2 linked regions of the Arabidopsis thaliana genome follow. The protein of the gene in region 1 interacts with the protein of each later gene in a biochemical or structural test. Each region holds a gene or a part of one and is shown on either strand. Other genes may lie near its edges.

The links. The genes of interacting proteins can lie anywhere in the genome.
Region 2: the proteins of CPFTSY (region 1) and ALB3 form a complex in vitro, tested with the Arabidopsis thaliana proteins (one study listed by BioGRID).

Annotation. Positions count from the first base shown.
Region 1 is NC_003071.7:18,849,171-18,854,284, forward strand, and holds CPFTSY (signal recognition particle receptor protein, chloroplast (FTSY)), read left to right. Parts: upstream 1-1,917; 5' UTR 1,918-2,077; coding exon 2,078-2,383; intron 2,384-2,490; coding exon 2,491-2,595; intron 2,596-2,671; coding exon 2,672-2,745; intron 2,746-2,856; coding exon 2,857-2,915; intron 2,916-3,026; coding exon 3,027-3,064; intron 3,065-3,236; coding exon 3,237-3,357; intron 3,358-3,444; coding exon 3,445-3,513; intron 3,514-3,605; coding exon 3,606-3,688; intron 3,689-3,803; coding exon 3,804-3,872; intron 3,873-3,967; coding exon 3,968-4,030; intron 4,031-4,118; coding exon 4,119-4,232; 3' UTR 4,233-4,571; downstream 4,572-5,114. UniProt on the Arabidopsis thaliana protein: Signal recognition particle receptor protein. Binds GTP specifically. The GTPase activity is inhibited by the N-terminus of the protein until binding to the thylakoid membrane. Activates the GTPase activity of FFC/cpSRP54 when bound to the cpSRP complex.
Region 2 is NC_003071.7:12,355,783-12,361,530, reverse strand, and holds ALB3 (63 kDa inner membrane family protein), read left to right. Parts: upstream 1-1,962; 5' UTR 1,963-2,372; coding exon 2,373-2,747; intron 2,748-2,835; coding exon 2,836-2,946; intron 2,947-3,056; coding exon 3,057-3,131; intron 3,132-3,208; coding exon 3,209-3,269; intron 3,270-3,353; coding exon 3,354-3,427; intron 3,428-3,528; coding exon 3,529-3,633; intron 3,634-3,774; coding exon 3,775-3,882; intron 3,883-3,974; coding exon 3,975-4,078; coding exon of another isoform or gene 4,079-4,112; exon of another isoform or gene 4,113-4,386; coding exon 4,387-4,536; intron 4,537-4,636; coding exon 4,637-4,862; 3' UTR 4,863-5,210; downstream 5,211-5,748. UniProt on the Arabidopsis thaliana protein: Required for the insertion of some light harvesting chlorophyll-binding proteins (LHCP) into the chloroplast thylakoid membrane.

The DNA of each region.
Region 1 (5,114 bases):
GTGATTTATCCCAATTCAAAGTGGATGTAGGTAATAGCTGGGAAAGGTAAAAACTGAAAAATCTTGGCCAACAAACACATGCATGCATGGCTATACATTGTAAATTACATATGTCAGCAGCATCGTGTCGTGAGCTAAGCTAAATAGCTGTGGAAATGTTCATATATTTAACAATAGTTTAAAACTGCAACGATGTGGTCGCTCACTCTATAATGTATTTTTGCGAGATATTATTATATGTATATTATCATATGACCCAAGATGACCGATGGGCTTAGCTTGCAGTACTGATGAATAAATCATTACAGACTGTTTCTGGAAATTTGTTGTTTGTTGCCCAGTTATTTCATGGCACATGGATTAGGCACTCATATCAACTATGTAGTACTTTTTCTACAATGTTGTCGTGTTGACTTGATAAAAGTATACAGTCAATCTAGGTCAATATCTACTAGTTCTTTCTTATACCGTTTTTGGTGGATAGCGGGAATGGAATTGCTAATTCTAACTTACAAGGTATGGTTTACGAATATTGTAAGTGTTTTTTTTTAGAATGCCAATTCAGATATTCAAAAAACGGAGAACATGTACTAGTCATTAAATATAGAGTAATAGAGTTAAAAATCTATAAATTTTGACCGAATACATATAAAAATATAAAAAATTAGAATAATCACCAAGTATTTCTCGGTGCTTATTAATATAAGAAGATAGAATTTAAAAATGGCTACCAAAAACAAAAATAATAAAAATATTTATTAAAATAAGCAAATTGTTAATTAGATAATTCAACAGATTTGAAATTTATAATCGGCCACTTGTTTTTTCTTTTATAATTAGAGACTCTCAAACCAAAATCTAAAGTAATTTACACGATATGTATATATAAAGTCAGGTCTAAACCACTGAATTTAGAGATCCGATCCGTTGATGGGAAAACTCAACCCACATTATCAATTCTGTGGAAAAAAGATTGTGATTTATTTATATTTTTTGTGTGGAACACATGTATGTACTATAACTGTGTAGTACATGCATATGTAATTTCAAGTACTCGTTAAAGAAAACAGACCAGCAAATTGTCTTAGTAACATTTTTCCACATACCATCTAATCGTTCATGACATCGTTTTGCTTATGTCACGTTTATGACGCTTGTATGAATGTGTTCGGCTGTTGGTGTACCAAATATACGACAAATGCGAAACATAAGAGAAAAAGATAAGTTAAACGTTATACCTAAGGAAACAAATTTGGAGTCTTCACTTTTGGTCGTCCTCAGCAAACAAATTTGGTGTATATAATAATCAAAATAGGCGAAGTCCTATAAATTGTTTGCCAACAAAATATAAATTGTCAAACTAGTATTCGCCACAAATGCACTTTTGAGTTAAAATTGAATCACGTGTGAAGAAGTTGTTGGACTTTGTTTACATCCTTTGGATCAAGTCTTAAAGTCGTTCTATGGACATTTGAGAAATCTACGGGAAATAGAGGCAAAAGAAAAAGAAATCAAATATAGTAGTAGGTTTTAAAACATACATACTTTGTACCAAAGCTTAATGGCGCCATCAATGAATGAAATAGTTGATGTGATTGTAGCTGAATGATTGCTAGTTACTTGTTGTGCTCGTTTGAGGATAAATCTTATGATTTCAAATTTCCAATATCTTTGAAAATCGTTCAAAGTAAGATATAAACATACCTTTGAAAGAGAAATTAGTATATAAACAAATAAAACTAATTATAGTTTTCAAAATGATAACTGTAGATGATTAACTATTTTCTCTCACTAATTTACTAACATATCCTTGATAAAACTTGTAATCTAGATAGATAGAATATAAAAAGACGTAATCTATTATATACAAAACAAATTTGTATTTGAGGATTTTTTTTATTTATAATTATAATTAATAGTTTTCAAAAAATTAAGCATTAACGCTGCGTTTTTCATTATTCATTTTTTTGCAGATTGGTTCATTATTGGGAAACAATAGAAACGTAAAACGCAGCGTATAAAAAAGATTATTATCCAGTAAGTCAGTAACTTACACAGATTCTCTAGCACAACTGCCATGGCAACTTCTTCTGCTCACCTCTCGTTTCTCGCCGGACGTATATCGCCGTTCTCCTCCGAACGGATCGGATTATTTCCTCTCAGAGGAGAATTTCGTCCACGAATGACCCGGTTCCGGTGCTCGGCCGGACCGAGCGGATTCTTCACGCGGCTGGGTCGGTTGATTAAGGAGAAGGCCAAAAGCGACGTGGAGAAAGTTTTCTCCGGATTCTCTAAGACTAGGGAAAATCTAGCAGTCATCGACGAGCTCTTACTCTTCTGGAATCTTGCTGAAACAGACCGAGTTCTTGATGAATTGGAAGAGGTTTTTTAATTTTAAAGCCATCTTAATTCGAATTATTGTTGATTCTCTGGGTTTCAGATGCAAATGGAGTTTCCCTGAAACCTAATAGTGGGAATAATTCAATGTAGGCGCTTTTGGTTTCTGATTTTGGACCGAAGATTACTGTTAGAATTGTGGAGAGGCTAAGAGAGGATATCATGTCAGGAAAACTCAAATCAGGAAGCGAGATTAAGGTTGATTTGAACGAAATTGTGGTTATGTTAGGGATTAGGGTTTATAGCTAGTTGATTGTACTTCTGAATGGTGTAGGATGCATTGAAGGAAAGTGTGTTGGAGATGCTGGCTAAGAAAAACAGCAAGACAGAGCTTCAATTGGGTTTTAGGTTCTCTTCATTTAGCTGTGTTACTTGTTATTCTTTCACGCCTCTGCTCTGTTGAAGTGGAGTTATGAAAGATTGTGGTTCTAAGTCTGGTTATATGTTATGGTGTATCAGGAAACCAGCTGTTATAATGATTGTTGGAGTGAACGGAGGTGGGAAGACGACATCTCTTGGTAAGGAAATTGGCATTAATGCTTTAGAGTGGGAATTCAAATGACTAGCTGGTTTGCTTTGGCTTAGCCACAGAAAGATTTATGTGAAAGATTCTGGCTTTTGTTTTTCAGGAAAGCTGGCTCATAGATTGAAAAATGAAGGAACTAAGGTACACCTTTCATGTTTGATATCATGTAAACTAGATCCTTTTTGTTCTTCTCTTGAGAGTTGAGACTAGAAAGTGGTTGCTCAAATAGGTGATGAGAAATTTTGCCAGGGTAGGTAGAAATAGAATTGAGTATCAGTATGTTCATCAGCAATCCTGCGATGATTTGTCATAGGTATTAATGGCAGCAGGTGATACATTTAGAGCAGCAGCAAGTGACCAATTAGAGATATGGGCAGAGAGGACTGGGTGTGAGATTGTTGTGGCTGAAGGAGACAAGGCTAAAGCAGCCACGGGTAAACCAATGCATTGTTATTTTGGCTTGCCAGTATCGGTGTTTGGTGCACAAACAACTTTAACATGTTTGTTCTGTTTCTGAATAGTTCTCTCAAAGGCTGTGAAAAGGGGGAAGGAGGAAGGTTATGATGTTGTACTGTGCGACACATCTGGACGTAAGCATACAAGAGTTTGCTTGCTGACTTAAAAAACATGCTTATGTACCGTCTTTACTGAATCTGAGGAACATTACACCTCTTTATGTAAGGTCTCCATACTAATTACAGTTTGATGGAGGAGTTGATTGCGTGCAAAAAAGCAGTGGGCAAGATTGTCTCTGGTGCACCTAATGTGAGTGAGCCTTTTTACTTATCCTATTCTGTTATCTTGCTTATATTATTACACTCTGTTAGTCTCCAATTTCGATCATGCGTTAGCTAAAAATAATATTTTACGGAATTGTTAGGAGATCCTACTTGTCCTTGATGGAAACACTGGTTTGAACATGCTTCCACAAGCTAGAGAATTCAACGAGGTACCATACGAAACTACCTAAACCTAGTGATTCTGGCTCCCCAAACTAGAATTTCTTCGTAAAATCTTGAGGTTTCTGGGTTACATTTTTTTCAGGTTGTTGGTATCACCGGTTTGATATTGACGAAACTAGATGGCTCTGCTAGAGGAGGCTGTGTGGTAAATATCTCATAAAATTTTTGATCTCATTCAAAGCTCTTATTTTTCATTAGCTCTGTCATTGAAACTGGTTCTCCATGTCTTGCAGGTCAGTGTGGTTGAGGAATTGGGCATTCCCGTAAAGTTTATCGGTGTAGGAGAAGCTGTAGAAGATCTCCAACCTTTTGATCCGGAGGCTTTTGTGAATGCTATATTCTCTTAAGCCATAAAACCTCGTCTTCTTCAAAAAGCTATCATCTTCAACGCAGGCCAGAGCCAAGTGGAAAATTCACAGTGAATTCGCCGGAGATGCAAATGGAAGCATTCCTTATTTTCTTGGAGATCTTAGGTTGACAAGCTTTTTCTGCAATGGATGCAAGTTTCGATTTTTAATGATGTGACAAAGCTCGTTTGCACACTGATAGTGATCACACAAGAATGTAACGAGTCATAGGAACTGCTTGTGTCTCGTCTCACTACTATTTTGTATATTGTTAATGTTGTATTTGAAAGGAATTACAAAGATTGATAAAAGAACAATGAGGGGAGGAAAACCGTAAAAAAGAAAGAAAAAAAAATGAAACTTTTTTAAAAAATATTCATAACTTGTATATAATCCACAAAACGATGCAAAGGTCAAATGACATGATCCATAATTCGATTAGTTTTCATATCATTTTGTAAAAATTAATATTCAAATTTAAAAATAAAAACTGTAAAAATGAAAGAATAAAAAACAAAAATTTAAAACTTTTGAAAATATATTAATATGAAACTTGTATATTAATTCTACAAAACATTGTGAAAACAAGTTGAATTAGTGGTATCGGCATACGACTTCAAATGACAAGATCCAAAATCCGGTTAATTTTTATTTTATTTTGTAAATCTAATATCCAAATTAAAAGTTAAAAACCATAAAAAAGAAAAAAAAACAAAAATTTTAAAATTTTTCGAAAATGTTAATAATTTGTATATTAGATCTACAAAACGATGCGAAAACAAGTTAAATTAGTGGAATCGGCTAACGATCAAAAACTGTAAGAAAGAAAAGAACAAAAATAAAATTTATAAAAAACCTCTTAGAAAAATATTAATAACATGT
Region 2 (5,748 bases), 6.5 Mb from region 1:
CAAAAGCTTAGATACACTGAAACCATGTATTTTAGTGGTTTATGCTACAATCGTGTCTATGTGTTACTATTATTAATAAAATTTATATAATGCATATTGTTAAACAAAAAGTTGACGAAATTATGACAGAAAAAAATGACGAAACAATTTCTTTTAACTCTTTATCCACAAATATCTGATTTTTTTTTTTTTTTTTTTTTTTTTTTTTTTTTTTTTTACTAGGGAAGCAATGAATTGCTCTTTTTTTCTCTCCTGGTGTCAATGCTTCAATTATGAACGTTAACTAATTTATTGCTTTATGAGCTTCTTTCTCGTCCAAACATTCTTAAAAACAATAGTGAAAGTCTCGATTACGAATTCAATATGACTACGTTCAATTTCATATATCGCTTTCCATTCTAATTTTTTAAGATTTGGCATAGGTGTACTAATCATTTGCTTCATCTGCCGAACAAATTTTCATAATTACTTTTTTAAAGAACGCATATGCGGTTATAATTTGTACCACTCTTAACTTTGCATATGAATTTACTTAATTACTTATGCACCCATTAATCAATGGAAGCCCGAGGTAATATGCAACCTGATTAAAAAATATTACGTTATTATTCTGATGGTCCGTACATACAAATATTACTTTTTATAATTTTCCTATGTATCCTTTGTATATGAATTGAAAAGCATTTTAGAGAAATAATTTCTATTTAGTAACAAATTAATGAGTTATTACCCATAAATTATTCTTACGTCTCCATCAAAAAGTGAGTTTAGCCTTGAAAGTTCTGTGTCGACGTCGTTATGTTATAAAACAATAAATACGAACTCTTAATCGTTCGTTGTCATATAAAATTAAGAAAAAAATACAACATCATCATTTTTTTTATTTTTTTTGTCAAACTTACAACATCATCATTTCTATCAAAAATTTATGTTAAAAAACAAATTATGAAATAAATAATTATTTCACAACGAAAAATAATAATAACAAATATAATTATTTTCAAAACAACTTTAAATTTAATTTCTATATATAGTATTTGGTATAGGTCTATATATGATCGTGACGTGTGAAATATAATTGAGGAACGGTGGATGATTCTTGAAAACAATGTGGAAGATATTTAATTCAGTATGATGCTTAAAAAAACTCATAACGTTAGCTATGTTTTGTTGAATATTACATCACATAAACGTATGGGTGTGCACTTAGAGCGAGCCGGTGATTATAGGTTTGTTTTTTTTGGTAAAAAATTATTGAGAGATTATTGATTATAGGTTTTGAAGCTATCGATCTGAGCTAGAGATTAAGGAACGAATCCCTCTATGAACATTTAAACCTTGTTCTTTTTGCTTATTAACTGAGAGATTAGGATCCTAAAATCTATACAACACTAGAGATCATTATCCAAAAGATTTTACTTAGTCCCATTTGCGGTCACATTTAATTCCCTAAAAGCATGAAAATTCTATCCCATTTGTTTTTTCCACTAGACTTGGGACTCAAAGCGTAATTTATAACTATCTTACGTTAGAGAGCATTATTTACGACCATTATTTAGGCTGAACTCATTATAGACATCGATCAAGCTCTAGTGTTAAATACATTTTCTTTGTGGGATTAATCTTTAAAGGCCTTGTAATCACTTACTATTTCGTAAGTTATGAAGATTTGGGAACCGGATTATGGCTTTGGGAAGTTAAGTCCTATGACTCAAGCTTACCTTTTTAGGGTTGTGTATAGGTTCTCGATAAATGTTTCAGATTAGTTCATTTGTTTTTTTGTTTATAAAAACTACATAATATAAAACGTGGAAAGAAAGTGATAATGACAAGAAATAAAAGTAAGAAAGGTGGTGGTGTGAGAATCAGATTCGATGTCAACTAATTGAAAGAGAGTACGCAGCTTTTTCTTCACAATTATATATATTTTGTGGAAAAGCTTACCATACATTCACAAAGCATTCGAGATTTGATTTTTATAGAAAAGTATTTACATAAAGTATTTTCTAAATCGGTTTCTATTTTGTATGCTTTCAGTTTTATTTTGTGTTGGGGAAGTGATCCATGCATTGAGCTTGGAGATTGATGGATTGGTAATTAAGCCTATTAAGTTAAGCAGGCCTGTTTCTAAAATGGGCCCTAATAAGCCCAAACTACAAAAAGCACCGATATATCCCACGTTAGATACATGTCCACGTGGACTCCTATGACTGGATGTAATCTCCACCACGCGCGATCACCAGCTTCGTCTCTCATTTTCATTTTCCAATTTATTTTCAAAAAAAGATAAATCCAGAAAAAAATTTACAAAATAAAAAAATAAAAATCTCTATCTTCTTCTTCGTCTCTTCTCATCCTCCTCTCAAGCTCCAATGGCGAGAGTTCTAGTCTCGTCTCCATCTTCATTCTTCGGTTCACCGTTGATTAAACCGTCGTCATCTCTCCGTCACAGTGGAGTAGGAGGAGGAGGAACCGCTCAATTTCTTCCATACCGGAGTAATAATAACAAACTCTTCACTACTTCAACCACCGTACGATTCAGCTTAAACGAGATTCCTCCTTTCCATGGCTTGGATTCATCTGTAGACATCGGAGCGATTTTCACCAGAGCTGAATCTCTTCTCTATACAATAGCTGACGCCGCCGTTGTTGGTGCTGATTCCGTCGTAACTACTGATTCATCCGCCGTGCAGAAGAGTGGTGGTTGGTTTGGTTTTATCTCCGATGCTATGGAATTGGTTCTTAAGGTGAGTTTTAAGCTGCTAATTTCGATCTCTGTGTGTAGAATTCTGGAAATTGTATTTGTAGCTTAAGTTTTTTGGTTTGGATTTTTAGATTTTGAAGGATGGATTATCAGCGGTTCATGTACCTTATGCTTATGGATTTGCGATTATCTTGCTTACGATTATCGTCAAAGCAGCGACGTATCCTTTGACTAAGCAACAGGTTAGTGAGTGTGATTAGTTGAATTTTGCAGCTCCTCTTGTCACTTTGATTCAATTTTGGCATGTTGGTTGAGAATTTTTGAGCATTGCTTTTGTTTTGGAATCCTTTAGGTTGAATCAACACTAGCGATGCAAAATCTTCAACCGAAAATCAAAGCGATTCAACAACGTTACGCAGGAAATCAGGTGAGTTTCTTTGGATAGAGAATGAGTTACTTGTGGATGACGAGTCTGATTTGTTTGTTCTGTTTTTGGATATATAGGAGAGGATACAACTAGAGACATCGCGATTGTATAAACAAGCTGGTGTTAATCCGTTGGCAGGTACTTTCTTTTAGAAGTTACGAGTTTTGTATTCCCTTCCTGAATTGTGGTGACATATGCACATTATTGTTTTTTTTATGTTAGGTTGCTTACCAACTTTAGCAACCATACCAGTTTGGATTGGTTTATACCAAGCTCTCTCTAACGTGGCCAACGAGGTACATATACCTTATGTCTCTTTCAACTACTGATTTCGCTAGAGACCGGATAAGTTTGTCTCTTTCAACTACTAATTGTTCTAAAAACTTTTTTTTTGTAGGGATTGTTTACAGAAGGTTTCTTTTGGATTCCATCTCTGGGTGGACCAACATCTATAGCTGCTCGGCAGAGTGGATCCGGCATTTCGTGGCTTTTTCCGTTTGTGGTAATGGAAGAAAAAAACTTTATGTGAATACGTTTTCTCATTTGATACTTATCTTTATACTAAAAAATTTCATACAACTGAGTCTTTTGCTGTGCAATGAACCTTTATCAAATTGGTGTCTAATATCGTTCGGTGGTGCAGGACGGGCATCCACCATTGGGATGGTATGACACTGTAGCTTATCTTGTTCTACCTGTTCTACTTATTGCCTCCCAGTATGTGTCAATGGAAATTATGAAGCCTCCTCAAGTGAGAAATAAACACAAGTTTCTTTTATTTTTCCTGTTACTTAAACAATTTGATATGATTGTTCTGAAACCGAATTTAATTTCTTTTGTCAGACTGATGATCCTGCACAGAAGAATACGCTTCTTGTTTTCAAGTTTCTTCCACTCATGATCGGTTACTTTGCATTGTCTGTCCCATCAGGACTATCTATTTACTGGTTGGTTTCCCTCTCCTTGAAACTTCTCATCTAACTGTTTTATCCATGCCCTTGATCTACTCATTAAATGGAGTATAAGAAAGATTTTCTCTAGTAATTAACCTAGATGGCTTCATTCTCAAAATGTACGTAAGACGGGTTAGAATTTCGAGGAATACGAAGCTTGTTTGATAAGGAATCATCTAGTGTGACTACATTTTGTAACATCAATATTATTGTATATGACTGTGTTTATTGGTAGGATCTGAGTTTTATTTTTTCCCTTTTTATTATGCTACTGCTTATGTTAAACCATCCTATGGTTTTAGGCTCACAAATAATGTACTTAGTACCGCCCAACAAGTATATCTGCGTAAACTAGGTGGTGCAAAGCCAAATATGGATGAAAACGCAAGCAAAATAATAAGTGCGGGACGAGCAAAGAGATCTATTGCTCAGCCTGACGATGCTGGCGAAAGGTAAGTGAATCCCGAGTCTAGTGGAGATTATATCTCTCAATACGAAGCGTTTTTCTTACAAGTTTGTTATTTCTGATAAATGTATATTGGATCACAACAGATTTAGACAATTAAAAGAGCAAGAGAAGCGCAGCAAGAAGAACAAGGCGGTTGCGAAAGATACAGTTGAATTGGTAGAAGAATCTCAGTCTGAATCAGAAGAAGGGTCTGATGATGAGGAAGAAGAGGCTCGTGAAGGAGCGTTAGCTTCGAGCACAACAAGCAAGCCGCTTCCTGAGGTTGGCCAACGAAGAAGCAAAAGATCGAAGCGGAAACGCACTGTATAGAACCAAAGCAAACGAAATTGCAAGTAAGGAAGAGAAAAGAGAGAGATTTGAATCTTGTTCCTTAGTTTGATCTTTTGATATATATTTGCATACACCATGTCCGGTAATTATCTAATATTAGGGCACAAAAAGGTCATTCTAAAGTTAAAAGCAGTAGTTGATCAAAGTAAATTGTTTATGTGATTCATCTTATTATAAATGTATTAACGTAAATGTGTGTACTATTATGACTTTTCAACATGCCCGCTTCAGTTTTGTTAGCATTTCGTTGTTGTAAACTTGCAATCTATTTGTTTGGTGCTTTTATTAGCTTTGTCAGCTTATAAAAATGGTAAATGTGAATCAAGTAGTATAGTAATTTGTGCAATAAACGAGACAACGATTCCCCATGAATAAACAACAATTACTTCCTGACAAAGAAGCATTGTTCTTTGGATTGGCATGGATAAAATAGAGAGAGGTAAAAATATTACGATTTGGATTGGGCTGAGGCCCAAGATATGGTTACACGATTTTCAAATTCTCGAAGTTGTACAAGTAGACAAAAGACATCTTGTTTTGTCGTGTTGTCGTTTGGTGTTTGTCGTTTTGATGTGTTTGTCAAAGAACCCTGTTACTAATCTGAACGAATATAACTTGTCAGTGTAGCCACATTACACTAATATTCAGAGAAAGTTGTCATGTTGTTACAATCATGAGTCACATAGCATGTAATAGAGTGTACATTTCAATAGGTTTAGAAGTTTAGAACACATAAATCAATCGGTCCATCTAAAATGTTTGCATTATGGTTTACTCATTGTAACTTGTAAACATTACATATGTGAATGCTTACTATCCTAGAAAAGCAAAACTGTTGGAAACAGCTAAAAATTAATATATCTGC